Linked DNA regions of Pelodiscus sinensis. The protein of the gene in region 2 purifies or fractionates together with the protein of the main gene of each other region. This does not show direct contact. Links are inferred from orthologs where the notes say so. Each region holds a gene or a part of one and is shown on either strand. Other genes may lie near its edges.

Evidence for each region. Proteins that work in one complex are often made in the same cells at the same time.
Region 1: the proteins of POLR3B (region 2) and POLR3E purify together in Homo sapiens (affinity purification with mass spectrometry; 8 studies listed by BioGRID and IntAct, counting the BioPlex papers as one, with this or other methods). This does not show direct contact. The link is inferred for Pelodiscus sinensis from reciprocal best matches to the Homo sapiens genes POLR3B and POLR3E.
Region 3: the proteins of POLR3B (region 2) and POLR3C fractionate together in Homo sapiens (co-fractionation; 4 studies listed by BioGRID and IntAct, with this or other methods). This does not show direct contact. The link is inferred for Pelodiscus sinensis from reciprocal best matches to the Homo sapiens genes POLR3B and POLR3C.
Region 4: the proteins of POLR3B (region 2) and POLR3G fractionate together in Homo sapiens (co-fractionation; 4 studies listed by BioGRID and IntAct, with this or other methods). This does not show direct contact. The link is inferred for Pelodiscus sinensis from reciprocal best matches to the Homo sapiens genes POLR3B and POLR3G.

Annotation. Positions count from the first base shown.
Region 1 is NC_134726.1:22,731,328-22,738,299, forward strand, and holds the start of POLR3E (DNA-directed RNA polymerase III subunit RPC5), read left to right. Parts: upstream 1-3,952; 5' UTR 3,953-4,109; intron 4,110-6,294; 5' UTR 6,295-6,377; exon of another isoform or gene 6,378-6,396; intron 6,397-6,972. UniProt on the Homo sapiens protein: DNA-dependent RNA polymerase catalyzes the transcription of DNA into RNA using the four ribonucleoside triphosphates as substrates.
Region 2 is NC_134711.1:96,922,683-96,930,705, reverse strand, and holds the start of POLR3B (DNA-directed RNA polymerase III subunit RPC2), read left to right. Parts: upstream 1-5,003; 5' UTR 5,004-5,063; coding exon 5,064-5,135; exon of another isoform or gene 5,136-5,136; intron 5,137-8,023. UniProt on the Homo sapiens protein: Catalytic core component of RNA polymerase III (Pol III), a DNA-dependent RNA polymerase which synthesizes small non-coding RNAs using the four ribonucleoside triphosphates as substrates.
Region 3 is NC_134734.1:19,515,883-19,522,825, forward strand, and holds the start of POLR3C (DNA-directed RNA polymerase III subunit RPC3), read right to left. Parts: upstream 3,021-6,943; 5' UTR 2,839-3,020; intron 2,487-2,838; exon of another isoform or gene 1,957-2,486; intron 1,862-1,956; 5' UTR 1,842-1,861; coding exon 1,695-1,841; intron 943-1,694; coding exon 687-942; intron 1-686. Other genes in the region: E3 ubiquitin-protein ligase RNF115, read left to right, coding at 3,309-3,395. UniProt on the Homo sapiens protein: DNA-dependent RNA polymerase catalyzes the transcription of DNA into RNA using the four ribonucleoside triphosphates as substrates.
Region 4 is NC_134716.1:74,580,645-74,587,575, forward strand, and holds the start of POLR3G (DNA-directed RNA polymerase III subunit RPC7), read right to left. Parts: upstream 3,021-6,931; 5' UTR 2,730-3,020; exon of another isoform or gene 2,638-2,729; 5' UTR 2,629-2,637; coding exon 2,509-2,628; intron 1,675-2,508; coding exon 1,545-1,674; intron 1-1,544. Other genes in the region: acyl-coenzyme A thioesterase MBLAC2, read left to right, coding at 3,038-3,512. UniProt on the Homo sapiens protein: DNA-dependent RNA polymerase catalyzes the transcription of DNA into RNA using the four ribonucleoside triphosphates as substrates.

The DNA.
Region 1 (6,972 bases), on a different chromosome or scaffold from region 2:
AGCTGATTTAAAGGTTGCCTTAGCTTTTCAAAATTCAGATTTGGTGAAGGGTGCATCTTCCATGTGTAAGTCTTTGATCCAAACACAGATTTACTATGTTTCTTCAGCATAACTCTACTAGTGCAATCCACACTTCACATCCAATATCTTATTTTTTCAGTCCCATTTGACAAAGAGGCAGGGTGGGTAAAGAGCTCTATTGTGTTTGTGCAAGGAAGGAGAAACTTTGATCTCATAATTCTGGTGTGAGAGAAGGCAGGGCTTTTTATGCATCTTTATAATTGGTACCTGAGGCAAACCTTTTGCTCAAAGTATTACTACACTCAAAATCTGAGGAAATTTCATCCCAAACACGTTGTAATCCTAAAAGCACCTCAGGGTTACAGATCAGATACTGTGTGGTATTTCTTCCTAGGCTGAGTTTCTTATAGAAAAAAGACAACTTAGCTTTCATTACACAAGAAAGACTAGGACATTCAGGACAATGTGTTCTGTTAAAAACATCCTTGATCTCTAGCACTTTAAGAGATTGCTTAAGGAAAGGAGAGAAAAATTGGAATCTTACTATGCGCCCCAGGCCTGCTTGTGCCTTCCCTTAGTTCAAACACCTAGGAATGCAGGCAGGCAGAATGTAATTGGGCTCAGTCAGAGTCTCAGTTGTAGGGGTACATCTCTTCTGAAGGACAGTGTGATCTCAACACCATTCTGGAACACTGCATCAGTGTTGATTCAGTGTAAAGAGTGCCAGTTATTGAATCCTCAGTGACACTCTTGGCAAACATACAACCCAATCCTTTTTAGTTTGGGAGAAATGATGAAATCACAGCTCACATAAATATGGCAATGGTCCCATTCTGCTTTTAAAGTCCCTGGACACTGAGCAGAAACTGCTCCTAAAAGCCCAGCCTTCCCTGTGATGTGAACTGAAGCAAGCTGGACTGCTGATAAATAGCATAGTAGGTATAAAATGGTATTAGTAACCTGTTTAGTATAACGATCCTGAACAAATTGTACATGCCGAACTTCTTTTCTGCAGGGAGAACAAATTTGATCTGAGGTTTTGGCTGTCAATTTGGACTCTTCCAGCCATTTTTGAGAAGTGTAAATGCATGCTTCATTCACCTCCTTTATCATGGAAAAGTTAGTAATCCAGCCTGTCTCCATATACTCTTTTGCCTGTTTGTTAAGCAGTCCAGGGACCTGGTGAATCGCTCTGTATGACCAGTTAAAGCCTGCAAACCTGATTCTCCTCACACATAGGGATGTGAAAAATAAACCAACTGAATTCACTGTAAGTGAAAGGAGCTTGATTGAGATAAATGATTGTAAATAGCATCCAGGAATTCATTTGAGTGTATGAGACTGCTGCAGCAGTACTGAAAGCAAGTAGACATGGGTGTATCTTGGTTAACACTTCCTGAAAAGCATCAGCAGCCCAGACTAGGGACAGTATACCTTCTGAGGAAGAAAGAAGGCCCGAAAGCTGGGAGATAGGTTTGTGTGTAGGGCGGGGAGAAAGATCTGTGGCAGTGGAAAGGCTGGGCTCTAGAAGATAACAGATACTTTATGGCATTAAAAGGAATTTAAGAATTTATCAGGTGGACCAGGCAATAAGAGGGTTCTGGAGTTGCACCAGAATTCCACTTAAATGAACTGCCCAAATTAAAGACTTAAATCATGGTGGATTACAATTTAATGGGCTTGCTCCATGCAGACTTCTTTCCACCCTCTCTTTCCCTAAACAGACTTTCCGGCTACGTCTAGACTGGCATGATTTTCCCCAAATGCTTTTAACGGAAAAGTTTTCCGTTAAAAGCATTTGTGGAAAAGAGCATCTAGATTGGCACGGACGCTTTTCCGCTAAAGCACTTTTTGCAGAAAAGCGTCCGTGCCAATCTAGACGCGCTTTTCCACAAAAAAAGCCCCGATCGCCATTTTAGCGATCGGGGCTTTTTTGCGCAAAACAAATCTGAGCTGTCTACACTAGCCCTTTTGCGCAAAAGCTTTGCGCAAAAGGACTTTTGCCCAAACAGGAGCAGCATAGTATTTCCGCAAGAAGCACTGATTTCAGACAATAGGAAGTCAGTGTTCTTGCAGAAATTCAAGCGGCCAGTGTAGACAGCTGGCAAGTTTTTCCGCATAAGCAGCTACTTTTGTAGAAAAACTTGCCAGTCTAGACACAGTCTCCCTGCCCCCACATTGCCACTGATGGAGAAAGAAGGAAAGAAAGTGTGTTTTACATCAACTGGCTCTAGATCTTCCACACACTTATGTGGAGAGAGAGACTCCGCAGCAGACACCAACTCAAAGTACCAGTCTCCAGTATGCCCTTCTTCTTTCTCTTTTTCTGCATTAGGTTCACATTGTTGTAATGCTATGAACTTAGACAAAACAAAAAGCAGGACTATGTAGCACTTTAAAGACTAACAAGATGGTTTAATAGGTGATGAGCTTTCGTGGGCCAGACCCACTTTCTCAGATCAAATAGTGAAAGAAAATTGTCACAACCATATATACCAAAGGACACAATTAAAAAAATGAACACATATGAAAAGGACAAATCAAATTTCAGAACAGAAGGGGGATGGATGAAGGGAGGTAAATGTCTGTGAGCTAATGATATTAGAGGTGATAATTGGGGAAGCTATCTTTGTAATGGGGAAGATAATTAGCGTCTTTATTCACTTGAGTGTAAAGTGTCGAATTTAAGCATGAATAACAGTTCAGAGGATTCTCTTTCAAGTGAAGTCTTAAAATCAAGTCATTGAGACAATGTCCTTTCTGGTTGAAATGTCAATAAACTGTTTTTTCTTTGTGATCCTGTCTGATATCTGTTTTGTGGGCATTGATCCTTTGGTGAAGTGTCTGAGACGTTTGTCCAATGTACATAGCAGACGGACACTTTCGGCACATGATTGCATAAATTATATTTCTTAGACGGCTGTTTTACCACACAGCAGTGAGAAGAAAATGCCTAGAGGCTATAAGCTTTTCAAATGAACCAGGCTTTGATTTTTCAGCAAGAATTGTTCAAGAAAGAAAAAAATACATCAAACTAGAACATCCCGGGCAAGAGATACCAGAAATGTAGGCTTTTCCTGCCAAATTGCAGGCCTCCCTTATGGGGGGACAATTCACACTCATGGCATTGTGATGTTGCAAAGGCTTGATATTTGCATTGTAATGTTGCAAAACTTTGGGTTGATGCTGCACTGTGGCATTATATAACAGAAGCTTCATTGGGCTACTGTATGACAATTCTCTGATACACAGTGACATCACATTATTACACTGCCGTACTAGGATACTGAGTTTTGTAAAAGTTTGACACCCATTTTTATACTTAGTTGTTTCACATTGGAACAGTGACATGCCCACACTATTAGTGAGCAATGGGACATCCCTCCAGAACTTCAAGCAGCTCGGGAGCTCTGGAATGATTGCTCTAATTAATGCAATCTAAATGCAAAAATACTGATTAGCCAAACTTACCTGTTTGTACCTATTGCTAATATTATTTCTTACTATCTATCTAGATCAGTGATCTGAGCTTATTCATGTACTTGAGTTGCAAAATAGTTTATCTTCTGAAAAAAACTATTTTTAAACAAAAAAAATCTATAATGGAAGCAAGTGCATTCAAGCCCTTCATTTCTATGTGAAAGACTCTCCATAATTGAATATACCTCCAAAGCTTCTGACTATACAGAAGCTACAGTATTGGAAAATTATAAGGGAAAAAATACGAACCATCAAATGAATACACTATAGGAAGAGCTACATCCCATGTCGGTAGCGTGGCCGAGCGGTCTAAGGCGCTGGATTAAGGCTCCAGTCTCTTCGGGGGCGTGGGTTCGAATCCCACCGCTGCCAGAAAGCTTTTGTGCTTCTGTGTTTTGCAGGGGACCGCACAGCGCCGCCTGCTGCCACGCGGAGAACCTTGACCCCGCCTGGGAAGCATTGTGGGTAAGAGGAGGAACTAGTCTCCCCACGTGTCTGCTGCTGGAGTTACATCAACATGGCTGCTGCATAAGAGACCCCGGGACCCGCAAACCCATTGCAACGCGCCGAAGGGGGGGACCGGCTGCCCCTGGACCCCGCGCCACGAGGTAGGGGGGCTTGTGTGGTGCATGGCTCCGGCCCCTAGTGCTGCGCAGGGCGTTGCAGCTGCTGCGGGGCGCGTTCCTTTGCAAGGCCTGGGCTGGGGTGCGCGCTGCCTGCTGCAGTTCCTGGGCTTGAGCTCAAAACTCTCCCGGAGTCTGAACTCATTCGCCGGGAACTGCCTGGGGAGGGGGACCTGGGAATAGCTGGGCAGGGGTTGGGGATGCTCTGCATATCTCCCCCCCTCCCCCGGAATGATGCGGGGATGACTGCTGAAATTCACACGGTTTGCTTGTAATCAATCAATCAGTCTTCCTCTCTGCCTCTCGCCTGTGTATGTGGGGGGGCGTGCAGTGTCCCCTCCGTGCGATTGCTGCATGGTTACATCAGTCGTCTCAGCCTCACACCAAAGTCTAGTTATGGGCTAAGAATTGAAAAAAAGACTTGGCACCGTCTCTCTTTGCCTTTAGAGTATCCCAGGACTAGGAAAGAGTCAGATTTAACATGAGATTGTAGATAGGTGTGGAATCTCTTCTCCCTGAGGTGAAGTGGTTACATCGGCCATCTCTTTGGGGAGGCTTCTTCTCCTACCTCCCCCCAAGCAGTAAGCAGAGTTTGATAACTCCTGCCCCTCCAGCTGCTTCCCCTGTCCTGGAAGAGTGAGTAGTGAATGGCACAGGTACATGCACCTCTTTCTGGCCATCTGTGTTGTGGCTTGTTTAGGAAAAGCTTTACATCCTGATTCAAACTACCAAGTCATTCTTGCTCAGAGCAGGATTTTTGCAATCAATAGTTTAAACCTATGTTTTAAAAGCTGGCTAAATTGACATGTTTTGCTGTAATTCCCTATTTACTGTTATTGTGCTGGGAGAAAGTAGACTTACAAGCTGCTGGAAAAAATAATTAAAAACCTTCTTATAGCAGAGGGTGGCATCCAGTATGAAGGCCCAGCAGATACCAGGCACGATGTGTCATGCCTGTAATTTGGAGCTTTCACTGACTCACTGACCAGGTGACCTACCCTTTGCACTGGGTTTTCTTTGATTATGCTGTGGTTAGGGAGAAGCTATTTACTAATTTCATTCATCCAGCTACCCTGACACTGAAAGAACAAGCTTAACATTTAGTACACAAATGATATTTATGGAAATGTTAAGGTTCATGTACTGCCTGGCTGAAGTAACCATTACTGGAAATAGAAGCCTTGATGCACACAGTCCCAATGTTTTGGTTAATTAACAGAATGTGGTTTTGAAAAGGAGAAAGTGAAGGAGAGAACCTTGTAAATACACAGTTGTCTTCCTGTAGTTCTCAAACTAACATAGGCATTGTGCTGAACATCACCTGATCAGGATCTGGGCCAGTGTTTGAATGAGAGACCTCTAAGAAAAACCTGAGTGCTACAGGAAGTGACAATGCTAATTCAGAAGATGTCATTCTTCCCTTTTTAGTGGTTATGAACCAGAGCTTCTGCATATTAGTAGAACAGTGATTCCCATCTCTGTGTGTACCGTGACCCCATGTTGCACCAGAAAAATGTTTCAGGTCTCCCTGTACCTCAGTAATTTCAGGGGCCCCTCCATTCTAGCCATAAAGAGAAGCAGGTTAATTGTGAGCTGCTGGATCTATTTGTGCAAATCATGTTAAGAACCCATATCTGAGGGGGCACTATGGAACTGGAGATGCTAGCTTTCAGATGAGACACAAAACTGAGGTTCTGTCCACTTGTGGCCATCTTAAGATCCCATAGAATGAGAACAGATGTGTTACCTCATTGTTTTAGCTGAATTCAAACTTGGGGCAATCGAATTCTTGCTCATTAAATGCTACATGCAATTTAAATTAGATGGAATTTTTTTACTTGTTCTAAATTGAGCAGCTGTTAATCAGCTGCTTACCCCATCCCGCTTAACAGTGTTTTAGTTGTAGGCAAATTGAGATCTTTGCATGTATTACCCTACAGCTGTTTGGGGGGGGAGGGGATGTGTTAAAATGTAGTTAACTAATAACAGTGAGCTCTTTAGATGGACATACCTTCAGCAATCCAGAATCTACCTAAAAATAGTATTTGCACCATCTACTAAGTTGTATATTGTATCTTTTATTTCTCCCAATGTTTATCTTAATTTAATTCCTTTACTTTTTCCATTGTTCATGAACTCTTCTTCTGATTACTGTATTTCTGTTGAATAGGTCTGGCTCAGAGCTGTCTGTATGGCTTCCCATTTTAAATGGCTGAATCTAATTGCATTTAATTTTATTCATTGTTGTATCAGGTAATACAGGTAATATCAGGTAATGTTTATATGCTTACCATACTAATATTCTATTGAAAGCAATCCTCTAGACATTTCTTACCCTTAAAGGAACTGAAAATTGATGTATTCGTTATCTGATGTTTTCACTAGTAACTGAGTTACTCTATGAACTGGGACAAGCAGAAAGGAAATACTAATTTCTAATTCTGTAAAATATACACTCATGCTTACACCTTTGAAAATAATCTGGTTTCTAATAGTCTAGTGGTCTCCAACCTTTTTATACCCAAGATCACTTTTTAAATGACAGACCAAGCCAAGATCTACTGCCCCGCCCCTTCTTTGAAGCCCTGCCCTCTCTATTCTCCTCCTCTCCGTCAGTTGCTATCCCCAATCCTTATACTGCTGCTTTTTTTTTTTTTTTTTTTTTTATTATTCTGTAGGAAGAGGTTTTTCCAACATTTGGCCTGTCTACACTGGACCAAATGTCAGAAAAAGAACCCTTCTTTTGGAAGCCACCTTATTCCTTGTGGAAAGAGGAATATAGGGGTGACCAAAAGAGCCTGTTTGCTCTTCCACTAAAAAAGTGGAAGAACAAATGCAACCCCGGATG
Region 2 (8,023 bases):
CATTTCCCTAGTACATGCCAACATTACTGTATTGGTGTTAAGTTTACCAATGATAGTGTGAATATGGGCTTGCAAAATAGAAACATTTCAGAATTAATGTGATCCAATACTTAAAGATGACAGTTTAAACATTTGTATTCCTTGGAAAACTAACTTGGATGCTGACTTCCATTTCCTTAGACAAACAAAAAAAAAGTTACCTATTAGAGGTCATATTGTCCTTTAATTAAAATTTGGAGACCTAATCTGCTTTTTTTTTTTTTTTTTTTTAATATACAGTGGTTGCACCTTTGATCTTTAGAGGTGCTTAGGCACCTCTGAATTGGGACTTTTTAAACCTCTGATTTTGAAAGCATTTATGCACAAGAGTAGCCTTATTGACGTCAATGGAACAATTTGAGTTTAAAGTTAAACATATATTTAAATGTCTTGCTGGAGCAGGACCTAAATTTCAAAAGCGAGTAATGGTTTTATTCACTGACACTGGATGCTTCAGTTTTCTTGGGTCTCAAGTTCAGCATTAAAAATCACTGATTTCTAAAAATTTAAGCCAAAAGCTATTAATTCCATATGAATTAGGCCAATACTGCAGCTTGAAAGTTGACCTGAGACCTTAGACTCATAGGCTGTGTCTACACTGCATCCCTTTTCCGGAAAAGGGATGCAGATGAGACAAATCGGAATTGCAAATGAAGCGGGGATTTACATCTCCCCCGCTCCATTTGCATGAACATGGCTGCTGTTTTTTTCCTGCTCGGGGCTTTGCTGGAAAAAAGCGTCAGTCTAGATGGGATCTTTTGGAAAATAAAGCCTTTTCCGAAAGGTCCCTTATTCCTGATTTTTAAGAGGAATAAGGGACCTTTTGGAAAAGACTTTATTTTCCGAAAGTTCCCCGTCTAGACTGGCGCTTTTTTCCGGCAAAGCCCCGAGCCGGAAAAAAGCGGCAGCCATGTTCATGCAAATGGAGTGGGGGAGATGTAAATCCCCGCTTCATTTGCAATTCCGACTTGTCTCATCTGCATCCCTTTTCCGGAAAAGGGGTGTAGTGTAGACACAGCCATACTGTCATGAATGGGCTTTGGAGCAGGCCCTATAAAGTCACTGAGGTCTTGCAGAGACTGTTGAATTGGACCTTTGATATAGGAATAAGCTTCTAGAAGTCTACACAATGTACACACATTATTTTGCATCTCTCACATTATTGGAGATGAGTGCTGAAATATTCAATGTAAAATGTTTCTATCTTGATCAGAATTAATCAAATATATAATGATAGTATTTGAGACTATTATAGTGAATTAGTCCTATTTTTAAATGTCAAAAATATAAACTTTGTCTGGTACAAGTTTCCAAGTATCTTCCTAATGTTTTATATACAGTATATTTTTAATTAAAAATAAACTTTGCCCATATAGGATTAATGTGCCATACATAATATATAAAGATACAGTACAACTGGTGTATTTCTCATGAAGATCTAAAACATCTGGGTATTAGTAGCACTATGGGTTTTAGTCCAATCTCCTTTTTTACAGAAATAGGCTTGTTTGTTTGAACAGGGAAATATGCTTTTTAGACAATGTCTCAGACTAGTACTGATCTCCCAGGAAAAACAAAGCAGGATTTTTAATTTTGTTTTTTGTTTGTTTCCATGTGGGACTAAGCAATAGCAGACCCATGTATTAAGTGAACATTCTTTTGGACACCTGTCAAAAACTACTACTGAAATTCTCTCTATGTTCACATGGGAGTGAAGGGAGACTAAAAGGTCTCAAATTGCAACACTTCTCAATGACTCCTCACGCCATTTCATCTTTATACCTTGTTAAAAATATCGCATCAAATAGATGAGTACAGATTTTTCAATTTGAGAAACTCAAAATTGAAAGGAGTTCTTACTTGCACGCTTGTTACATTGTGAAGTAGTACATTGTTATCTTCATGAATATGGGGCTTACATACATAATTCATATGTATCAAGAGACGAATATATCCCAAAAGCTGAAAAGGAGAGTTCTCTTAGTAATTCCCTAACCTTGGGAAATCTAAATTTGTGCGCTGGGCCTAAAGAAAAGATTTTATTTTTAACATGTACAAAAATTGTATCGTAACACTTTTTTATCATAGTGATTTATCTTTCTAAACTTCCTAGAAAAATTTTCTACACAAAAAAAATTTACTTTGAGACCTGTTGGAACATATTTTAGTTTAGAAACCTCTAATCTCTCTGGGAAATTGTCACTGTAACTTCCTACTAGAAAATGAGGATACAATAATTTGCTTGCATTTGACTTTTTAAAAGGGCATTTTATAGCATGGTATATGTTGGTGATGACTTAAACATTACAATTAGGATACATTTTAATAATGATTTGGATGTAGATGTTTCTTCTAACTTTTGTCTGTTACATTTGAACTATGAGCATGCAACTTCCAATCTGAATTTTGTTTCTTGAAAACAGGCAAATTATGTAGCAGCAGCTTTAGTAGATGAAGTACAAATGAATTTTTGTGATGTGCATTTTTTTGTAGGCATTAAAAGTTTATGATAAACCTTTGGTGAGAAGTCATTCATGCAAGCTGCTTCTCAGTTTAAATGTAATGCATTCAGCTATTTGATACATTATTGCAAAATGAATCTTGACACAAACCACAAGTTAAATTAACTGGTAAATAGAAAAGGATGAATGATGTATTAACATAAATGTAAAAATAAACACTGAATACAGGTATATTAAGCTATATAATTGTTAAAATAAGTGTGTGTTGTGTATAAACACACACACAGAGGCCTAGTTTAGTACAACCCCCCCCCCCCCCATCTTAAATTTTTTTGTAAAGGTTATATTTAGTTTAAAATAGTTTTTTTCCCCCCAGGGATTACCAACCAGTCCAAACCAGCTTTTCTTGAGGAAAAATAACTAAAAAAATGTAAATACAAAACAAGACTGTAACTGATTATTTAAATCAAGGTTTCCTGTTTCTGAGTTAAGAGCCCATCAACTGCATGGATTGATTTATTTCCCTTTTAAATGTTTTCATTCATATTGTAGGTTAGATGTCTCTGACCTAATGCTTCTAGAAATGTTTACTATAAAGCAGCATCCATCACTTGTAAAACCAGTTCACAACATGTCAGTTTTTAAAGAAATAACTCTGGTCCAAACTAACTGTTAGTTTAACACTATTGACTTACACAGCCTTCAGAATTCTAATAGTAATAAAACAGTTTACTGCAAACTCCACAGCCTGCTTGGCCTTGCATCTTTAACTATCCCACTTGGTTGTCATCTATCTGAGGAAAACAACAGCATGCACTAATGATTCTATTTGTTTTATCCAAAGATGTTAAAAACTGGGATGTGTTTTTAGGGGGTATGGGTGGAACTCATTACCAACAAAATATCACTGAGGACAAGTACTTAAGATTAAAAATGGATGATAAGAACATTCGTAGTTGTATAAAGTAGGATAAAAGTGTTAGGATATCTAATCTCCTCCTTTACAGAATAAGCTAACTACTAAGTTTAAGAAGAAACTCTTCCCCTGGGGCAAGTTATTATGTAATTTTCAACCGTGGTATTCCTTGCACTTTATTCTGAACATCTGGTATTGGCCATTTATGAGCACCAGACATGATATCAGAATAATGGAACAGAGGATGTGGCAATTCCTGTATTCCTTACTCGTTTGCATAGTAGAGATCCTTGGGTGCATCAGAGGTGCAAACTATTATTGAAATATGACTATCGTCTTCTTAGAAAGCATACAGTGATTTGTTTAAGTCTCCAGTGTGACCTTGCTTCTGAATGATGCCTAAACATTATTACATACATCTTTTAACACAAGATCAACATAGGGACTTTTATTGTGCATGTTGATGCTTCTAGTAAACAGTTGTTTTATTCAACTGGAAAATCCACCTCCACTGAAAGACAGGAATGTGATTTGTGTGTATTCTTCTGAGCTTCTCTTGAGAATCCCAAAAATCCACATATAAGGCTCAATACATTGAGTCGATAGGTGGCCTTGCAATTCCAAACCTAAAAAGTTCTTGAGGAAAACTGCAATGCTTGTTGTGGAGAGTTTTGTGATTAAAGTACATCAGTGTAGGATTCAGGAGATGAGAGCAAATCACTTTTCTTGTTCCTCATTTACAAAACGGAGATTACAGTAATTTGTTACCTCACCACAGTATTGTGAACATAAAATTGGAAATAACTGAAGTGCTGAGAGCACCACAGCATTAAAACTGGAAAAAATATCACGACTGTTGCATACTGACATTGTCGCTTTGCAGAATATAAACTTACCCTTAGAAGATAATGGGACTGCATCGGCACTTTCAAACCTTTGTTCTCTGCAGAAGGTCAAAGTTGGAGTTTGTTGGTTTGCCTAGTATTTGAGAGACTATTTTAGTTCTTAACCCTCTGAAATCCTAGCCGACTGCTAAGGGGGGGGGGGGGGAAAAGTGCAGACTACAACTCTGGCTCATTTGTTCTTCCCGACTTTACAGAGACGGTAACAGCGGCTTTCCCATGCAATACAGTGTCCAGCAAACAGTAACCAAGGGACTCGTCTACTGGAATAATATTGCCACACAATTATGCAGGGGCTACGTGCTGGCTTTGTACCAGGTGCGTTCCGACGGAGCCTGCGATGCTCTGCCCGGCACGATACCGCGCCCCCTGGTGGCTGAACAGCAGAAGTTTAACTTTCCGTGGCACATGCCGCACTCAACCCCCACCCAGGCCTGGCTGGGAGTGTGGGTGGGATTGGGGAGCTGATTTTAGAGGAGAGCCTGCTGCACCCCTCCCCCCACCCCAGGACGCTTCAGTGGGACATTTTCACTCAGGCAGCTTCCGGGCCCCTGAGCCGGGAGAAGCTGCTCGCACAGTGCGGGCGCGTTCCCCCCTCCCCCGGGCCGTTAAAAGAGACGGAACGATTCCGCAGCGCCTCTTGTTGTAGAGGGGGCAGGTTTCGTCGTCGCACAGCGTGTCCCTCGCGGGGAGCGTCCGCCAGCTGCCGTGTCCCTCCCGGCTCGCCTCTCTGCCGCGCTCGCCATGGACGCGTTAGCGGTAGAGCTGGGGACTCTGACCCCGGAGCAGGCGGCGGCTCCCGTGAACACGGTGGAGGTGAGCGAGGGGGTGAAGGCGCCGCCAGCCCGCAGAGGAGGGGCGGGCCCCGAGCAGCGGAGCCCCCGCGAGCTGTGCCCCCTGCTGCGCATGCGCGTCGCCCCATGGTGCGGCTGCAGGGGGCTTTCGGGGCTCTGGAGACCGAGTCCCCGAGTCAGCTGTGGCGCATGCGCGGGGCTCCGCCGGCTTTTCCACGCTGCCCAGTTCTCTCCCAAGGGAGGGAGCTCGCTCTTCTAGGCTGGCTGCTTTGCCAGGTGGCCCCCGGGGCTTGGGGACAACAGGCACCTGTATAAAGCCCCACATGTCGGGACTCGTCCCTATAAAATCAGGACATCTGGTCACCCAACTTCTCCTGCTAACCATCATCATAGAAACAAGCTGATATCTAACATCTTGTGCTAATTGAGGCCACCTCTTCTTCAAGCTGCAACTTTGCTGTGTGTGAAATTACCCCCGCTGAGATATCAGGCACCACCATAGCACGTGAGCAACATAAAAGTTGCTAGCCATAGCAGTGTTCCTCCCGGACTTTGTGGCATTTCTGGTACTTCTCCTCCTTCTTCAGGGTAAAAGTGCTGTCTGGGTTTGCATTTTTAGATTTTAATCCTCTGTTCCTTTTTTTGCTAGTGGCTTAGTGGACAGAAGGGAGGTGTCAGAAATGTAGCCTTTAAATCAAGGTGCACAATGCAAAGAGCTCAGCACTGTATTCCATTGCAAGGTTAACTTGTTATATGCTCCCTTTGAGCCTCATCTTGCAAGTAGGATAGTGATAGAAATGTAGCCGTGTTAGTCTGGGGGTAGTTGAAGCAAAATGCAGGACAATGTAGCACTTTAAAGACTAACAAGATGGTTTATTAGATGATGAGCTTTCGTGGGCCAGACCCACTTCCTATTTGATCTGAGGAAGTGGGTCTGGCCCACGAAAGCTCATCATCTAATAAACCATCTTGTTAGTCTTTAAAGTGCTACATTGTCCTGCATTTTGCTTGCAAGTAGGGTGAGCATCTTTTCAAAATGCAAAAAGAAGACGCATGCAAGAACCCTCCCTTTTGCGGGTCCTCCACTTCCACCAGAAACCCTCCTCCAGCCAGATTGGAAACTTGGAGCCAACTGTGCTAAGAGCTACCCAGGGATCTTTGGTCACTATGGGGAGCCCTAGACCTTCCATCTGCCCTGAATGGGCAGCCAGAGTCCATAAGAGTGGTGCCAAACCTGTGTCCCTGCCCCATGGGGTGTGCTGCCCAGGAACTGGTGGATACAAGGTCTGAGTCTCCAGGGCTCCACACAGGGACCTGGGCTCTGTGAGCAGCTCTTATTACTATCTAGCACCAGCTTCTGGCGGGGGATGGGGAGGAGGAGCAGGGGGCAAAACCTTGTGGAGAAAGAGAGCTTCAGCCCACCTGACTAAATAGGCTGACGCTATCCATAAGCCTCTGGTAGGTGCAGAATGGCACCATGGGAATCATTTAGCCTGGAACCAGGACTTGAAACGTACGTTGGTGGGACTGTGCCATCCAGTTAGGGAAGGTGGTTATCCTGCCTGGGGATGTTGGATGCTCAGTACTTCATGGAATTAAGCCTATATGTAGTAGGCACAAAAGGGTTGAGGCTGCCACTTGCACACTAGTTCCATCATGATTTTATTTGCTCTTGTAGCTGCCCTGAAACTAATTTTGTGCCAGTTTTACTTGTGACGTGCATGAGTTTATCATATAGGGTAAACCATGCAAAGTTATAACTCTTTATTGAATTCACCTTCCTCCACATTCATGTTTGTTCAAACTACTACAGTAAACTTCCAATAATCCGGCACCTTTAGGACCCAGGGGGTGCCGGATTATCAGATATGCCGGAGTATAGGAAGGGGGCCTATGAGGGTCTGGGTGGAGTTGGGGGGCTGTGCCCCTCGGCGCTGCGGGACCAACCCGGTAGCACCCCAGCTGCTCTGCCCCCGGCTTCCCCGAGTCAGCCACTGGTTAGTTTAAGCAGCGGCTGAATCGGGGAAGCTGGGGGCAGAGCAGCTCCAATGGTCCGGCTGCCCGGAGCACTTCCGAGTTCCAGATGATGCCGGACCATCAGGAGTGCCGGACCACTGGAGTTTTACTGTACATACCAAAATAGTTTGTCATAAATCCTGCTGTATCCCTTTTAAACATGGGAGAGGGGAGAGGGGAGGGAAACAGAACTTGATTTGAATTCAATTTTTCCTCCCTAGATTTGAAATGTAAACATTAAGTTGCTTCCCTTATTTTTTATGATTTTTGCTTTTCTCTTGTGGAATTGTGAATAACAAAGTTGTACTAAAAATCTTAAACAACGAATGACGGAATAAAAATTAACTAAATTTCATGTCTTTGAAAGCTAGTGAAACAATATATCTGGGACTCCACACTCCAGTATACATATCCATGACAATTCTTTTTTATTTATTTGAAGTTAATTTTAGAATTGAATTATTTAATGTTAAGAATCTTTGCTGCCTTTGAATCTTGAAATACTTGTAAAGTTAGACATACTGTCAACCCACAAGTCACATTTGTCTGAATATTTAGAACCTATTTTTTAATTGTAGTAACATCTGAGATTCCTGTACAGCTGAAACACGTTAAAAGAAAAAAGTCTTTTATGTTTTCACATTTGTACATTTGACAGCAATTTGTGTTTGGCTGTGTATATTAGTATTTGTAGGATTAGGACCATAATTCTCTCTCTCGCTGAAAAGACCCTGATAAACATCAATAGGAAAATAAAACATTTTTAAGGAGTGTCTCTTTTTTTCTTTTAAAAAATTAATCAGGACATAGTATTTAAATGGTGTTTTCTTATAAGCTTGTATTTTATTAAATTAGTCAGTTTAAAAACATGTAAACTGTGTTCCTTCAAGTATC
Region 3 (6,943 bases), on a different chromosome or scaffold from region 2:
ACAGGGTTAGCCTGATAACCAGTGTTTACACTCTGGAATCTGTATAGCACTTGTCATTTGGTTAAATGTTTTTATGCCCACTGTACAGGTGGGGAAGCTGAGGCATAGCAAGGGGGTCTCTCTAGGTCATACAGTGAGCCAGTGGTAGAGCAGAGAATGGACTCCCAGGTCTCTCTACCATGCTGTCTCTACACATGTCTACTGAGAGAAAAAGAGAGTAAAACACACAGCAAAATAAATCATAGTCAAATGGTCTGAGCACAGGCCTGGGAGCTAATTCTGTTCCCAGCTTTGACAGTGATTCATTGTTTGAGCTTTGGCAGTGCCTGCTTCGCCTCGTGCCTCAGTTTCCACATGCTATAGCATGTGGATCACAATACTGATCTCTCCTGAAAATGCTTGGAAGCATCAGTGTTGTGTACTGCCTCTTGAAGATGCTCCATCCGGACCTGACCTAAAGCCCCCTGAAGTCAATGGAAAGATTCCCATTTACTTCAGTGGACTTTAGACCAGGCCCTCCATCCAGCTGGAAGCCATCCAATCCCCTTTCGTTGTGTACAGAACTTGAACACTGTGGTAGCATGAAGCATCAGCTCAGCAGCCTCAAAACTTGCCAGATAGATAAGGCACTGCAGCAAAAGATTTCCGCTCCCTTTTCAAGCTGTCTCCACACCCCACTGGCTCACCCTCCATAGTTTCCGTCAGCCTGTCTGCAACCTTCTGCACCACAGCGCTCATGGTCATTTTGCCGTTCAGCAGCAGCTCCTCCACAATCAATTCACCCATGTCGCTGTAGAGGGTCTTGGCAGTATAGATGTAACGTGGATACCGCAGGATCCTCAGCACCCGACTGCACAGAGCTTCGTACTCCACAATGCCTCGCTTCTGCAGCTGGTAGGTCACCAGGTTATGTTGAATGAGGACACAGAGAGCTTTCTTAACCTGCACATGCCAGAGAAAGGAATGAGAGCCGTACTTGGGGGAAAATCAACCCTCATGCTTGAGGTCTGATCACCTCAAGGATCAGGAAGGGAATGCCCTCCCCTCCTATATTTAGGTGCTTTAGCTCCATCCATAGTCTCAGGAAGGGCCATTAATTTCCCAATTAGCACTGATCATTAACAATGAAAGATAAAGCTACTGAGCATTCACCAGATCATCTTTATTTGGAAGAGAGCAGGGTGATGTTTGACATTCCTCAGGGGCTAACAGAATTAAGAGAAGAAGAAACCTGGGAGATCTTGTCCTAATCAAGGCAGGGCCTGGGAATCTCAACTGTAGTCCTGACTCACAGTGCAACTTTAAGCAAGTAAGCTTCACTTCCTTATTCTTTACAAGCTGCACTAACTTCATCTCTTGTCCTCTCCACACTCTGTTACACTAAATTAGACCACCAGCCTTCCCTTCTGGGGAGAGGTAAGAGCTCAGAACCAATCTGTTAAAGCCAATGACAAAACTCCCATGGATTGCAATTGGTACTGTTAAAGAAACAGATTTGGTTTTAAGGAGACATGTTCAAATTCTAATTTGCCTTTTGCAAACGCATTTGGAATAACAGAATCCTTCAGGAGGCCTAGAAATGGTGACAGACAAGTTTTAATGAGCAAATAATAGTTCAGTCAGCTCTGCTGAGTAGCATTTATCTAGCATCTGTGATCCAAGGGAGGATAACTCCTAGCGGATTCTAGACATACCTGATCTAGCAACATCCCTGTGTCCTTGGCAATCACTCTCAGTGGCTGGCTGCCTGTTTTGATAAGGTGAGTCCCTATCTTTTCCACGATCTCGCCAAAATGTTCTTGCAGCAGGAGGGAACAGAGTTTAATTTCTGCTTGAGTCATCTTGCCGTCAAATTAAAATACTAGAAGGATATGGGGGAAAAACATTTATTAAAATTCTTATCAGGTGAGACAGGAGAGTGCAGGAAATGTGCTGGTGGGACGCAAAGATTTTCACCTCTCAAGTCGCCTGTTTGATTTGGTCTATCAGCAGAGACCAAAAGTTGTTCCCAATTCAGGCTTGAGAGGAATGCAGTGGGTTCGAGGCTCAGCTCAAATAAAAAATGCCTTCACAGCCAGTCCGCTTTAAGTCAAACCGGGCAGGCACGCAAGCACCCCCAGCAAGCACCGAATGAGCCACGGTGACGAAACACAGACTATCCCCCGAGATGATCCCGGCAGGGCAGAGTGGGGGAAACGTGTCACACGCTTCCCTAGGGCTGCGCCAGTTCCGCAGGGAATCGGGCTCGCCAGTGGGGTGGCCGGGTGTTGAACTGGACAGTCCAGGATTTGAGCCTTCTGTGGGGGAACCCAATGGAGACAATAGAACGGAGACAAGGGACGGGTCCGGTCTTTGCTACACGAGAGGCCGCGGGCATTGTGACGTCATGGACATTGTGACGTCACGTCCAGGGTTTCTGTGGAAACCACCTGGCAACCCTGCTGGGCCGTTGGGCGTTGATTTTAAAATGGGGCCTGCCCCGTGGGCAGCACTAGGGGAGCTAACGAACCCCTGGGGGGAGGGTAGCACGGGGGGGGGAAGGAGAAAGCGGCGGGGGGGGGGGGTCTAGCGAAGCCAAGGACCGGCGGGCGGGCGCCGAGAGCTCAGCAAACAGCCCTTCGCGGCTCAGCGGTGCGGCCCCATGGCCAGGACAGGGCGCCCCCTCGGCGGCGGGATGCTCGAGCTCCGCTGCCCGACCTTGGACGGTGACAGGGATGAGCCGGCATGGGGCTGGGGGGCAGGCCGCTCCGGCTGCCTTCATGGAGCGGCCTCCACAGTTCCTTGCCCCCCCCGGCCAGGCAGAGCCCCCTCCCCCGTTGCCTCAGGGCTCCCACTCACCTGGGATCTCAAATTGGGGAGGGGAGACGCCTAGGCCCCTGCGGCAACCATAGCAACCCCTTCCACTTCCGGCTCAACGCGGGTTACTTCCGGTCGCCTGCCATGGCTGCGATCCGCCCTGGAGGCCGTCAGGGCTACAGCGCCGCTCTACCCGCCCCCCGCCAGGCTCGTTGGTTGCGCATGCGCATCGGCGGAGTTTACGGCGCGACGCTCTATCCTCCCCCTTCCGCCTGGTCTCGCTGGGACTTGGGACACGGAAGAAGCGAGGGGCGCCGCTCTACCCTGCAGTTCTCTCCTTGCTCTGGCGTGGCGGAGGCCTGACTGCTTCCTACCCCGGCCCAGCGGAGCACCAGCGAGTAGGCGGAAGCGGGCGGCTAGAGCGGCCCCCGCCGCTCTATCCGTGCGGGCCCTAGTCGCGGCCCGCGGAGGACTGACGGCAGGCAGGGAGCCGGGGGAGGGGGAGAGAGAAGATGGCGGAGGCCTCGGCAGCGGCCGCCGTGTCCCAGCATCGCTTCTTCTGCCACAGCTGCAAGGGGGAGGTCAGCCCCAAGCTGCCGGTAAGGGGCGGGGCGCGGACCCCTCGTCCCCCGCGGGGGGGGCCCTGCACCCCCCATGGAGGGGGGCCAACCCCGATCCCCCCCCCAGGGGCGCAGGCCGGGGGAGCGTTCAGCCCCTGTCCTCGGGGCAGCGGGGCCAGGCGGGAGAGGCGCCGCCCCCGCCCCTCGCATGAGAAGGGGGGGCTGAAACCCTGTCACCGTGCAGGGGGAGGGGGCTGCACCCCCCCCCCCCATCTGCCCTTCACTAGGGAAGCAGGAAGTGCGAGGCCAGTCCCCAGTGTCCCGGGGGGGGTCAACTCCTCCCCCCCCCAGGTAATCCCTGGCCTGAGGCTTCTTTCCCCCCTCTCTGTCCTGCCCTGGGGGGCACTGGAAGGGGAGGGGGGCACTGGAAGGGGAGGTCTTCAGCCCCCAGTTGTCCTCCAAAGAGGTGACAATGCAAAGGGCTCCCTGCCCCGCTTCAGGCCGAGAGGTGAAACCTCAAGCTTCCCTGGCCACTAAGGTGTGGGGTAGGGATGTTAGATTTTGGTTAATTGACTAGTCGATTGACCTCATGAATTGTTATCGGTTACTCGACTATTCTATGGCCCCGGGGAGTGGGGCCGGCAGCCAGTGCGCTCTGGCCCAACTCCCAAGGAGTCCCCTGCCACGCCGCGCTGCTACCTCTGTATCAGAGGTAGCCATGTGGACTGCCAGGCGGGAGCTGGTCCGCAAGGGGAGCTGGTTTAAAAACCAGCTTCCCTTGTAGCCCCAAACCTTTGATACAGAGGCAGCAGCGTGGGGTGACAGCAGACCCTGTCCAGCAGGTGGGGGAGAGGGGGATCTGAGCTCCTGGACCCAGTGCGAGCTGGAACTGAGCCAGGCTGCTGGCCCCGGCTGCTAAAAAATGTACCTGGGAGGCTGGGGGGGGGAGAAATGCGTGTAGTCTATAGCATTAGTCGATAAGGTTTTGCTTATTGGTTAATCGACTACGCTATTACATCCCCAGCTGGGAGGGCGTATATCCTAATCCTCCCTATGGAGAGAAGGGGAAGAGACACTTGTAGGCACATCAGGCACTTACCCCAGAAAGCAGAAGGCACCTCTCTCCTGATGCTCTAAGAGCCCCTTTGGGAACGTAGGGATGGTTAAACCCTTCTGAGAGTGGAGATAAACCATAGCTCACCCTTCACAGTGGCTCCAGGCCTGCTAGATAGCAAGGGCACCCATTCTCTCTAATGTTGCAGGAAAGCCTCAGGGGAGAGGCTCAGTGGCATAGAATTGTAGAACTGGAAGGGGCCTCAAGAGGTCATCTAGCTCGGTCTACAACATCAAGGGAGGACTCCCAATTCCTACAGTGAGAAGAGCAAATTTCAGTTCCGCAGACCAAGGATAAGTAGAGGCTGAAGCACCGGAGCTCCTCCTCATGCCGTTGGAGAAGAGTTTTCCTTTTGAGTACCCTCTCTGGACATGTGTATCCTAGTAAAATAGTCCTGTATCTCGTTAGAGTTGGTGGTATGTGTGGTGTATTAGATGGACTGTCACAAGCAACCCCGGCACTTATGCAATAGGATGAAGGAGGTGGGTGGACCAATCCAATCTGTGGTCTCCATTTAGATCCAAAATGGTTAGTCAGAGGTTGTCCTTATGTTCCTGATGTTCTAGTTACATCACACACCACAGCTTGGCGACTTCCTGGCTGTGGAGATGTCCTGGCGAAGCAGGAGGCTATTTGAGGAAAGGAACAGATAATGTAGCTTGGCCAGATTAGATCAGACACATAATATCTTTTTTCCTGATATATGGGAACGTGTGGAGATTCTCTGTTGAAAGGGTGCCTCAGTTTCCCCACCTGTAAAATTAGACTATCTACCTACCTCCTGAGAGAGCAGGTGTAGGAAGATTGTAAGGCTTTTAATATTTGTGATGCACTTTAAGATTCTTGGATGAAAGAACTTAATGAAGAGCAAGCTGCTGTAGCAAAACCTCATCAATCTGGATCCTGAAACAGATGCTGTCCTCCAATTCCTGGGTATTTCATAGATGATGGACAGCTTTTAGTTATCCAGACTGATTCAGGGTCATACTGACATTTAGGTAAATGAGATGGTGCTGTACTATTGCTTTTCCCTTCTGCACCATGAAAGGAGGTAAGAGGATGCTTTGGAGATTTTTGTTTTACTTTAAAAATCATTCATACATGACAGGAATGATGAGCCAGAAAATTTCATTAGCTTCCATTACAGGTAGCTCACCCCTCTGCAACTGCATATAGTCCTGTTGAGATTGGTGCTTGTCCATCCGAAATGCAAATTGATCCTTTAGCTCTCTGTTTGCAAACTCACCCTGCATCCCCTCAAGGTAGTAGCCCAGCTTTCTGGTATTTTCTCTTCTCTTTCTCCCTCCCAAATCATGTTCGACTCCCTCTTTATGCCTCTCGCCTCTGTTGCTGACTTAAGCAGTTTTCTCTCCTATGTTACAACTGTCCTTTTGTTATAAAGCAATGCTGCCCTAAATTGCTCACAACTAATTCTCTTCCGTAACTGGGATTCAGGATTTCCTGATGCCATTAGTGAGTTTTTTGGAACAAGAACTCCGGGCCCATGTATGAGATACATTGTTCAAATATTCACAGTATAAACATGTGAGCATTGACTGCCTCTTTTCTTTTGCCCTGTTGTATATTTCTATAAGCATTCCTACCCAGGCCTCTTTATTTCTAAGTCAGAGTCTTCAGTTTTGCTCTGCATGGGCATTAGACATCCTGGACTCTTTATAAGATTAATGGTTTGACTTGGCTTTTATTGTTATAATTAGGAGCACCCAGAACCCTAACTGGGATCAGGGCAGCATTGTGCTAGTCCTCTCCCACTCTGTAGTTGGGAACTGTGTTGTTCTCTTGAACAACTGCTGTCTTCACCCCGCGGGAGATGGTGTGTCACAGCATTCAGGTATTCTGGAGGATGATATGGACTCTAAAAATGTGAGCTATTATTACCCAGACTTTATAAATAATATGTTCAGGATTTATACCTGCCAAACCAATGAATTGTTTCACTTTTTCAACCTCTCCAGTATTGGGGTGACAACCTCTTTATCTTCTGCTGTTCCTGTCGCACACAACCTGATGGGAACCTGCTTGAATTAAGGATCACCCCTCTTTCAGTCAGCTCCTCAAGTTCTGGGGGGAGCAAGAGATATCCCATCATGCTCCAGACAACCAGTAATGTCATGACAAGGCAGGTCAGGGCCTATTTCTGAAGTAAGACTCTCTTATGCTCTTTTGAAAGCCTGTCATTGTGAATCAGCCTGTGTAAACTTTCCTTAAGGAGCGTGAAACTGGGAGGATAACTCTTTAGTTCTAAAGTTGACTTGGGCTCTGACTCGCTTTGTAGCATTGGCCATGTCACTTCCTTGCTTTGTGCCTCAAGTTTCCCCATCTGTAAAATGTGGCAAGCATTGGTTTCATGGGGCAATGGGCTGATGTTTGCAAAGGGCTACATTAGGATTTTATTTCAGATCTCTGAATTGTCCAGTAGAAGTCCACGGACCTGTTTATTTCTAGGGTGAGG
Region 4 (6,931 bases), on a different chromosome or scaffold from region 2:
TGCAAAAACCTGTAGGGGAACATTTTAACCTGCCTGGGCACTCATTAATGAATTTAAAAGTAGCCAATGTTCTATAAAGGAATTTCACTAGCCAATTCCAGAGAGAGTGTGTGGAATCCACATTCATCTGCATATTTGACAATGTTTTTCGGGGATTGAACAATGACATTATCTAAATGTCGCATTATAAAGCCAGCCCTGCCTGCATTTAACACCTCATTTTTACATCAAAAGCTAGGTATAGGACACATCCAGCCCACTTAATTAGCCTCATCAGCACCCATCCTACACTTGACAGGTATCTATTTTTTCTCCTCTTCTTCTTCTGTTATAAATTCTCCAGCTCATCTGATGAAGTGGGTTTTGCCCGTGAAAGCTCATGATACTGTCTATGTATATTTGTTAGTCTCTAATAGGGATGTAAGCAAAAGCTTATCGAATAGCCGACATACAATAAAAGCCAGTTCTTCCCAGCTCCAGCTCTGTGGAAGGAGGCAGGGGTGCAGTGGCATTGGTCCACCTTGGAAATGTGTAAGAGCCCTGCTGAGGCTCTTGTACATTTCAAAGCAGAAGCACCCTATGGAGCCAGGGACCAGCCAGGGAATCAGCATCCCCTGCTGGCCCCAGGCTCCCTTCATTTCAACCTTGAAATGTACAAGAGTCCCTGCTGGGGCTCTTGTGCATTTCAAATGTGGAACACACATGGCACTTACACCCTTGAAATATATCAATAGCTGGGTGGGCTCTTGCTACATTTCAAAGCAGAAGAGCCCTTATCGACTAATCAAATAGTTGATGGAAATTCCATCGATTATTCAATTAGTTGATTAATCTAATTTTAACCCTAGTCTCTAAGGTGCCACAGGCCTACTAGTTTTTAAAGTTATACACTAAAGGCTACGTCTAGACTGGCCCCTAATTCCGGAAAAGTCATGCAAAGCAGGTAAGTCAGAATAGGGAAATCTGCGGGGGATTTAAATATCCCCCGCGGGATTTAAATAAACATGTCCGCCGCTTTTTTTCTGGCTTGGGGAAAAGCCGGAAAAAAGTGTCTAGACTGGCGCGATCCTCCGGAATAAGGAGGAAATAAGAGATCCTCCGGAATAAAGCCCTTTTCCGGAGGATCTCTTATTTCCTCCTTATTCCGGAGGATCGCGCCAGTCTAGACACTTTTTTCCGGCTTTTCCCCAAGCCAGAAAAAAAGCGGCGGACATGTTTATTTAAATCCCGCGGGGGATATTTAAATCCCCCGCGGATTTCCCTATTCTGACTTACCTGCTTTGCATGACTATTCCGTTTTATGGGGCCAGTGTAGACGTAGCCTAACATAGCTACACTCCGAGACTGGTGTTTATTTTTTAGTTACAGCAAATTTAGACATTACTTGTAACTCTCCTAGCTGCAGAAGTTTCTTAGTAAAATGTAACTTTCAAGTTGTCATTGTCCCTATTTAGTGTCAGTACTACAGCTTGAACATAAAGACTAATTATTACAGTTTCCATACACAAATACATTTTGCTGATTTACATTTATGCAGAACAAACCTTGTTTTTCATCTTTGCTTGGCATAAAATAAGGCGTATTTTTCATACTTCCTCTAAATTCTTGCTTCAAGGCCAACATATAATCTTCTTCTTCTCCCATTTTCAGAGGCACTGGCTTAAAACCTGTTGACTGTGTAAATTAAGGTACATAATTGCATTAATATCCATCACATACAGCAACACATAAAACTACAGAAAAAATGCCTCTACTTATGGAGGAGTTCAATTATGTATTATACTAGTTTGCAAATATGTTTCACTGCATTCTGACAATATGTTCAGAACTTTATAATGCATATTTTTCAATTAAATTGTAAAAAGGATTTCTTTCTTTTTAATATATCCATCATGAAAACCTCTATTAGGAAAGGAATAAAACAAGAAATATCTAAAACATTTTTAACATAAAAACATAACATTCTAATTCAATTGACTTTAGGTCAGTGAAGGTGCACATCACCATTCACTCCACCCGCCCCCCCTTTCAAATGTCTCAGGCTAGCTGACTTGCTCTGAAGCCCTTACTGCTGCTAACTTCAGTGAGAGCAATTTCAACAACACCACTTCCCAAAATATGGTTCAATCTATGCTAAACATAATTAATCTGACCAATATTTTAATCATGTTAGTTATCTCCTGGACAGCAATACAATTTAACAGGTCTCAAAAAAAAAATCATCCCACTGTGGCCTTGTCTAAACTAGAGAACATGGGATCTGTAAAGCTCTCACAGTGCAGCTCCAAGACAACACAGTGTAAACACCTCAATTCTTATAAACGGTCTCTCTCTGCTGTTGAGATTTCTATCTCTGGGAACACACAGAGACGTGGATTAGCTACTTTCAAAACTGATTTATTAGATTTTTTCCATCCATTTAACGGTTCATTACCTAAATATGAACATGAAACACTTTGTTCAGACATGCAACTTGTTCTTAAAATGAAGCTTGTTCTCTTTACTTACAGGAAACAACGGAGGGGGCTTGAATGCTACTTCAGGTAGCGTTTCACCTTTGGAAAAGCCAATAGCCTCGATGTTGAAAGTAAATGCAGCACGTCCTCTTCCTTTTCCTGACCCAGCCATTTGGAATTACTGAAAATATTATTAGATTCTAGTTGCATCACAAAAAATAAAGCCAAAAGTAAGATGGAAAAAAGTCAAAGACTGAGAAAAGGTATTTTTACATTGCAAGTGTCATACCAATGATGATCTCCAGCTTGGAAAAAATGTGGGTCTGTCTAGAAATCAAATGGGACTCCAGACTCCATTTTTAGCTATTAATCAAACATGAAGGCGTTTTAAAACTGAGACTGTGGGAATTTAGTTCTGTGGGGCTGGGCGCTCAGTTCCAGGCACAATTTTAAAAGATGGGAACACGTGTCAGCCAGCTCCACCCCCGGCGACGCTGCCGCAGCCCGCAGTGGGGTGGGGCGCCGCGCAGGCTCCTCCTGGGGGCGGTGGCTTCGCAGTGCTGGGCTCGCAGCGGCCCGGCATGTCGGCGCTGGAGTGGTACGCGCATAAGCCCCTGGGCGGCGGCATCTACTGGATCCAGGAGCGGTTCTACGAGTCCGGCAACCGAGCCAACATCTGGCTGGTGCGGGGTTCGCAGCGCGACGTAGTGATCGACACCGGCCTGGGGCTACGCAGCCTGCCCGACTACCTGCACTCGGCCGGGCTGCTGGGGCCGGGCGCCGGGCCCGGGGAGGCGGAGGAGGCAGCGGCGGGAGGGGGCAGGAGGCCGCTGCTGGCCGTGGCCACCCATGTGCACTTCGACCACGCGGGCGGGCTGCACCAGTTCGACGAGGTGGCGGTGCACAGCGCCGAGGCGGGCGCGCTGCTGCGCGGGGACAACTACGAGACCGTCACCTGGCTGTCGGACAGCGAGGTGGTGCGGCCGCCCAGCCCCGGCTGGAGCGCCCGGCAGTTCCGAGTGCAGCCCGTGCAGCCCACCCACGTCCTGCAGGAGGGTAAGGGGCGGGCGGTCAGCGCTGGGGTGGGGAGCGGGGTATGTTCATGGCGGGAGGGCAAAGCTGCACAGACACTCCATAGGGCACCTGCCCTATTGGGGGTGGGGAGGCATATAAGGCGGGTGAGTTGGGCATGTGTATACGTGCCTGTGCTTACACTTAGGTCACTAGCTGCTACGTGTCTGTGTGTAAGTCAAGTGGGGCTGGGGTGAGTTGTGCGTCTCTGTCAGACAACAGTATGTAGGTGCATCACTGCGAGTTGGATCTGTACAGTACTTGAGGGGGGTACTGGGTGTGACAGTACATCGGGGTATGTCTGCCTTACCGTCTGTGGGAAGGAGTGCATATGCTGCGTTTGTGTCTAATCAGTGCGTGTCCATAGATGTGCATGTTTCAGATCTGCATCTTTAACTTTGGGTTGTGCAAAATGCTTCTAGACTGAACATCGGTTTATATACACTGCGTCATGTTTATTTGTATCTAAATATATATATATCACTTTTATAGTGTTAGTATATTGTACTTGAATCTAAAACAATTTTTATGTAAAGGGGTATCCTCACTGGATCTGTTATGCTACATTCCACATTTGTGATCTATGTTTGTACCACATATAGTAATCAGTTAATTTATAATAAGTGATCAGGATGTATGTTTATAGTGCATGTACATCAGTGTATTTCAGGATTCAGCTAAAAGGCTTGAATTTTTTGTTGTTGTTGCTTTGGGTTTGTTGGCTTTCTATGCCTGTCCAAAGATCTTACTTAATACTACTAACACTATAAGTCTGAAAGAATTTTGATTTTGGTGGTAAGTATCAGGGGGGTAGCTGGGTTAGTCTGAATATGCAAAAGCAATGAGGAGTCCTGTAGCATCGTATAAATTAACAGATTTATTGGCCGCATAAGCTTTCTCCCATGAAAGCTTATGCTCCAATAAATCTGTTAATTTATGACTATAAGGTGCCACAGGACCCCTCGTCGCTTTTGGTGGTAGTTTACATTAGGGATGTAACAGTGTAGTTAATGAACTGATAAGCAAAAGTTTATTGGTTAATGCTATGGACTAATGGACTACAAATCTCCGCCCTCACACACATGCACACACTGGGCCAGTAAATTTTTTAGCAGGCTGGTCTGCAGCCTGGCTTAGTACCGGCTTGCGCCAAGTCCAAGATCTACCCCTGCTGCGGCTCTGCATTTTAAGTGTATTAGGAGCCAAGCGGGCATGCAGCCCAGCTCAGTTTCAGCTCCCGCTAGATCTGGGAGCTCAGACCTCACCCTGGGCAGAGGCTGCTGCCACCCTGCGTTACTGCCTGTGTCTCAGAGGTAGCAGTGCAGGGCGATAGGTAAGTTGGCCTGCAAGGGGAGCTGGCGTCTAAACTGGCTCCCCTCATGAACCAGCTACCACCTGACACCCCACGCTACTGCTTTTGATTCTGATTATCAGAGATTATCTGATACTGAGATTCACTAAAGGAAGATATTTATCAACTGTATAAGGCAAAAATTATTCTTCCACATCTGTTACAATTCGGACTTTCCTGCAAGATATCTGGGGATTAGAGGGAGAAAGTGATAATGCTTTGCTCTAGCAATCCAGATAAAAACACACACTAAGTGTTTTTCCTCTCCCATGGGAAGCAGGCAAATCAGGAGCTGATAGCACTGCCAGGAATGGCATCACCTCCCTGTCTTGCATCTTCTGTTACAGGAAGTCTTTTTACTGCAGATGAATGGACTATGGATATAAAGAAGTTTGGAGAAGATGTGGTGATGCATTCTTCCATCATGTACAGCAGGGATGGTCAATAGATAGCTCCGGAGACAAAATTGGATTGTCAGATGCTTTAGAACAGGCATGTCAAACTCGAAGCCTACTGAGGGCCGCACAAACGAAAACGGATAGCTCTCAGGGCCACCAAAGAAAATGTACTTCTATCAGAAAGTCATAACTGTTTATTATAGATTAAGTTTTAGGTATATTTTATAATTTTTTTTCAGGTCTTGTTTTAATATAACACAATTTGTTGTGAAAAATTATTTGCCCATGTGAAATAACTTTTAATCTAATATATAAAGGAGAATGTTTGTATGTTTGTGCTCTAATAACTTGGACACTAAGAGCTACTGCAACCAAACTTTGCATAGGATAACCTTTCCTTCGGGAGAAGGTTTTAAGGTACTGTGGGAGGGTGTGACGGGGGCTCCACTTCCCCCCACACTAGCTCCGCTGGCGGCAATGCGCTCTCAGGCTGCTGCTGTTCTGGGCCTATGGCACTAGCACAGAGGCAGCATGCGGAGGACCGCCCTCATGGTGCAGGCGTGCCTCAGCTGGCGTGCAAACCGGCGGGCAAGTGGACCCAGGGACAGCAGGGATGTCGGCGTGGAAAAGGGCGCTGGTGGTTAAAACCAGTGCCGGGCCAGACATGGCGGGGGCGGAGAGAGAGAAGAGGGAGCAGGGTTGGCTCTTTTGCATGCTGCCATTTCCCCTTCCCTTCCCTGCCACCTCCCTAACTACCTGCCTGTGTCCCACCCGGAGAGCCCCCTGCTCCTTCCCACCCCTCACCCACCACTTCTTTAAATTTCATCTGTGCTCCACACAGATAGTGCCCCACTCCTCCTCTCCCTTCTCCCGCCACTTCCCTAACTGCCAGCCTGTGCCTCACATAGAGAGAGAATCTGATTTTCTTCCATCACATCTGTCCCAAGTACCACCCTATCTAATATGTAAAGGAGAATGTTTATGCGCTAATAACTTGGACACTATAAGAGCTACCGCAACCAAACTTTACATGGGATAACCTTTCATCCAGGAGAAGGTTTTAAGGTACTTTTGGACCCAATTGGGGTCCTGCCCTGCCCCCCACAGCACCTGTGGCCCTGGGCAGGAGCTGGGGCGCCCCTCCTACATGTAACCTCCCAGGACTTGCCCCCTCCTGCCCGCAAGGTTACATAACCGACCCTCTTTTTCCCCCCCTCCCACCCCTCTCCCGCCGGCATGCAGTGCCCCCACCCCCATGTGCACAATGGCTCAGGCACCTGCCCTGCCCCGCCCCCCGTGGCACCTGCAGCCTCAAATTTTGCACGGGGCGTCCCTCCTGCGTGTAACCTCCACTCCACCCGGGGTCACTCACCACCTGCCACCATCCTCCCATCCAGAAACCAAAACCAAAGCCTTTCTGCTCAGCTCATTGGGCTTATCTGAGCAGAAGAAATCCGTGTGCCTGCTGCATCGCAGGTAGGAGGGGCCATGTTAAACCCTCAACGTGTTACACTGCTGTAAAGTCAGCCGGCTGCTGTTCATACTGTGAGTGGGGCTCTTCTGGGTCTGGTTCCAGCCATTGGAGTTAGATGTGAGCTCTGAGCTTTTGCTTGCCAAGATTGGGCAGGTGGATCCCTGAGCCAACCTTGCAAAGA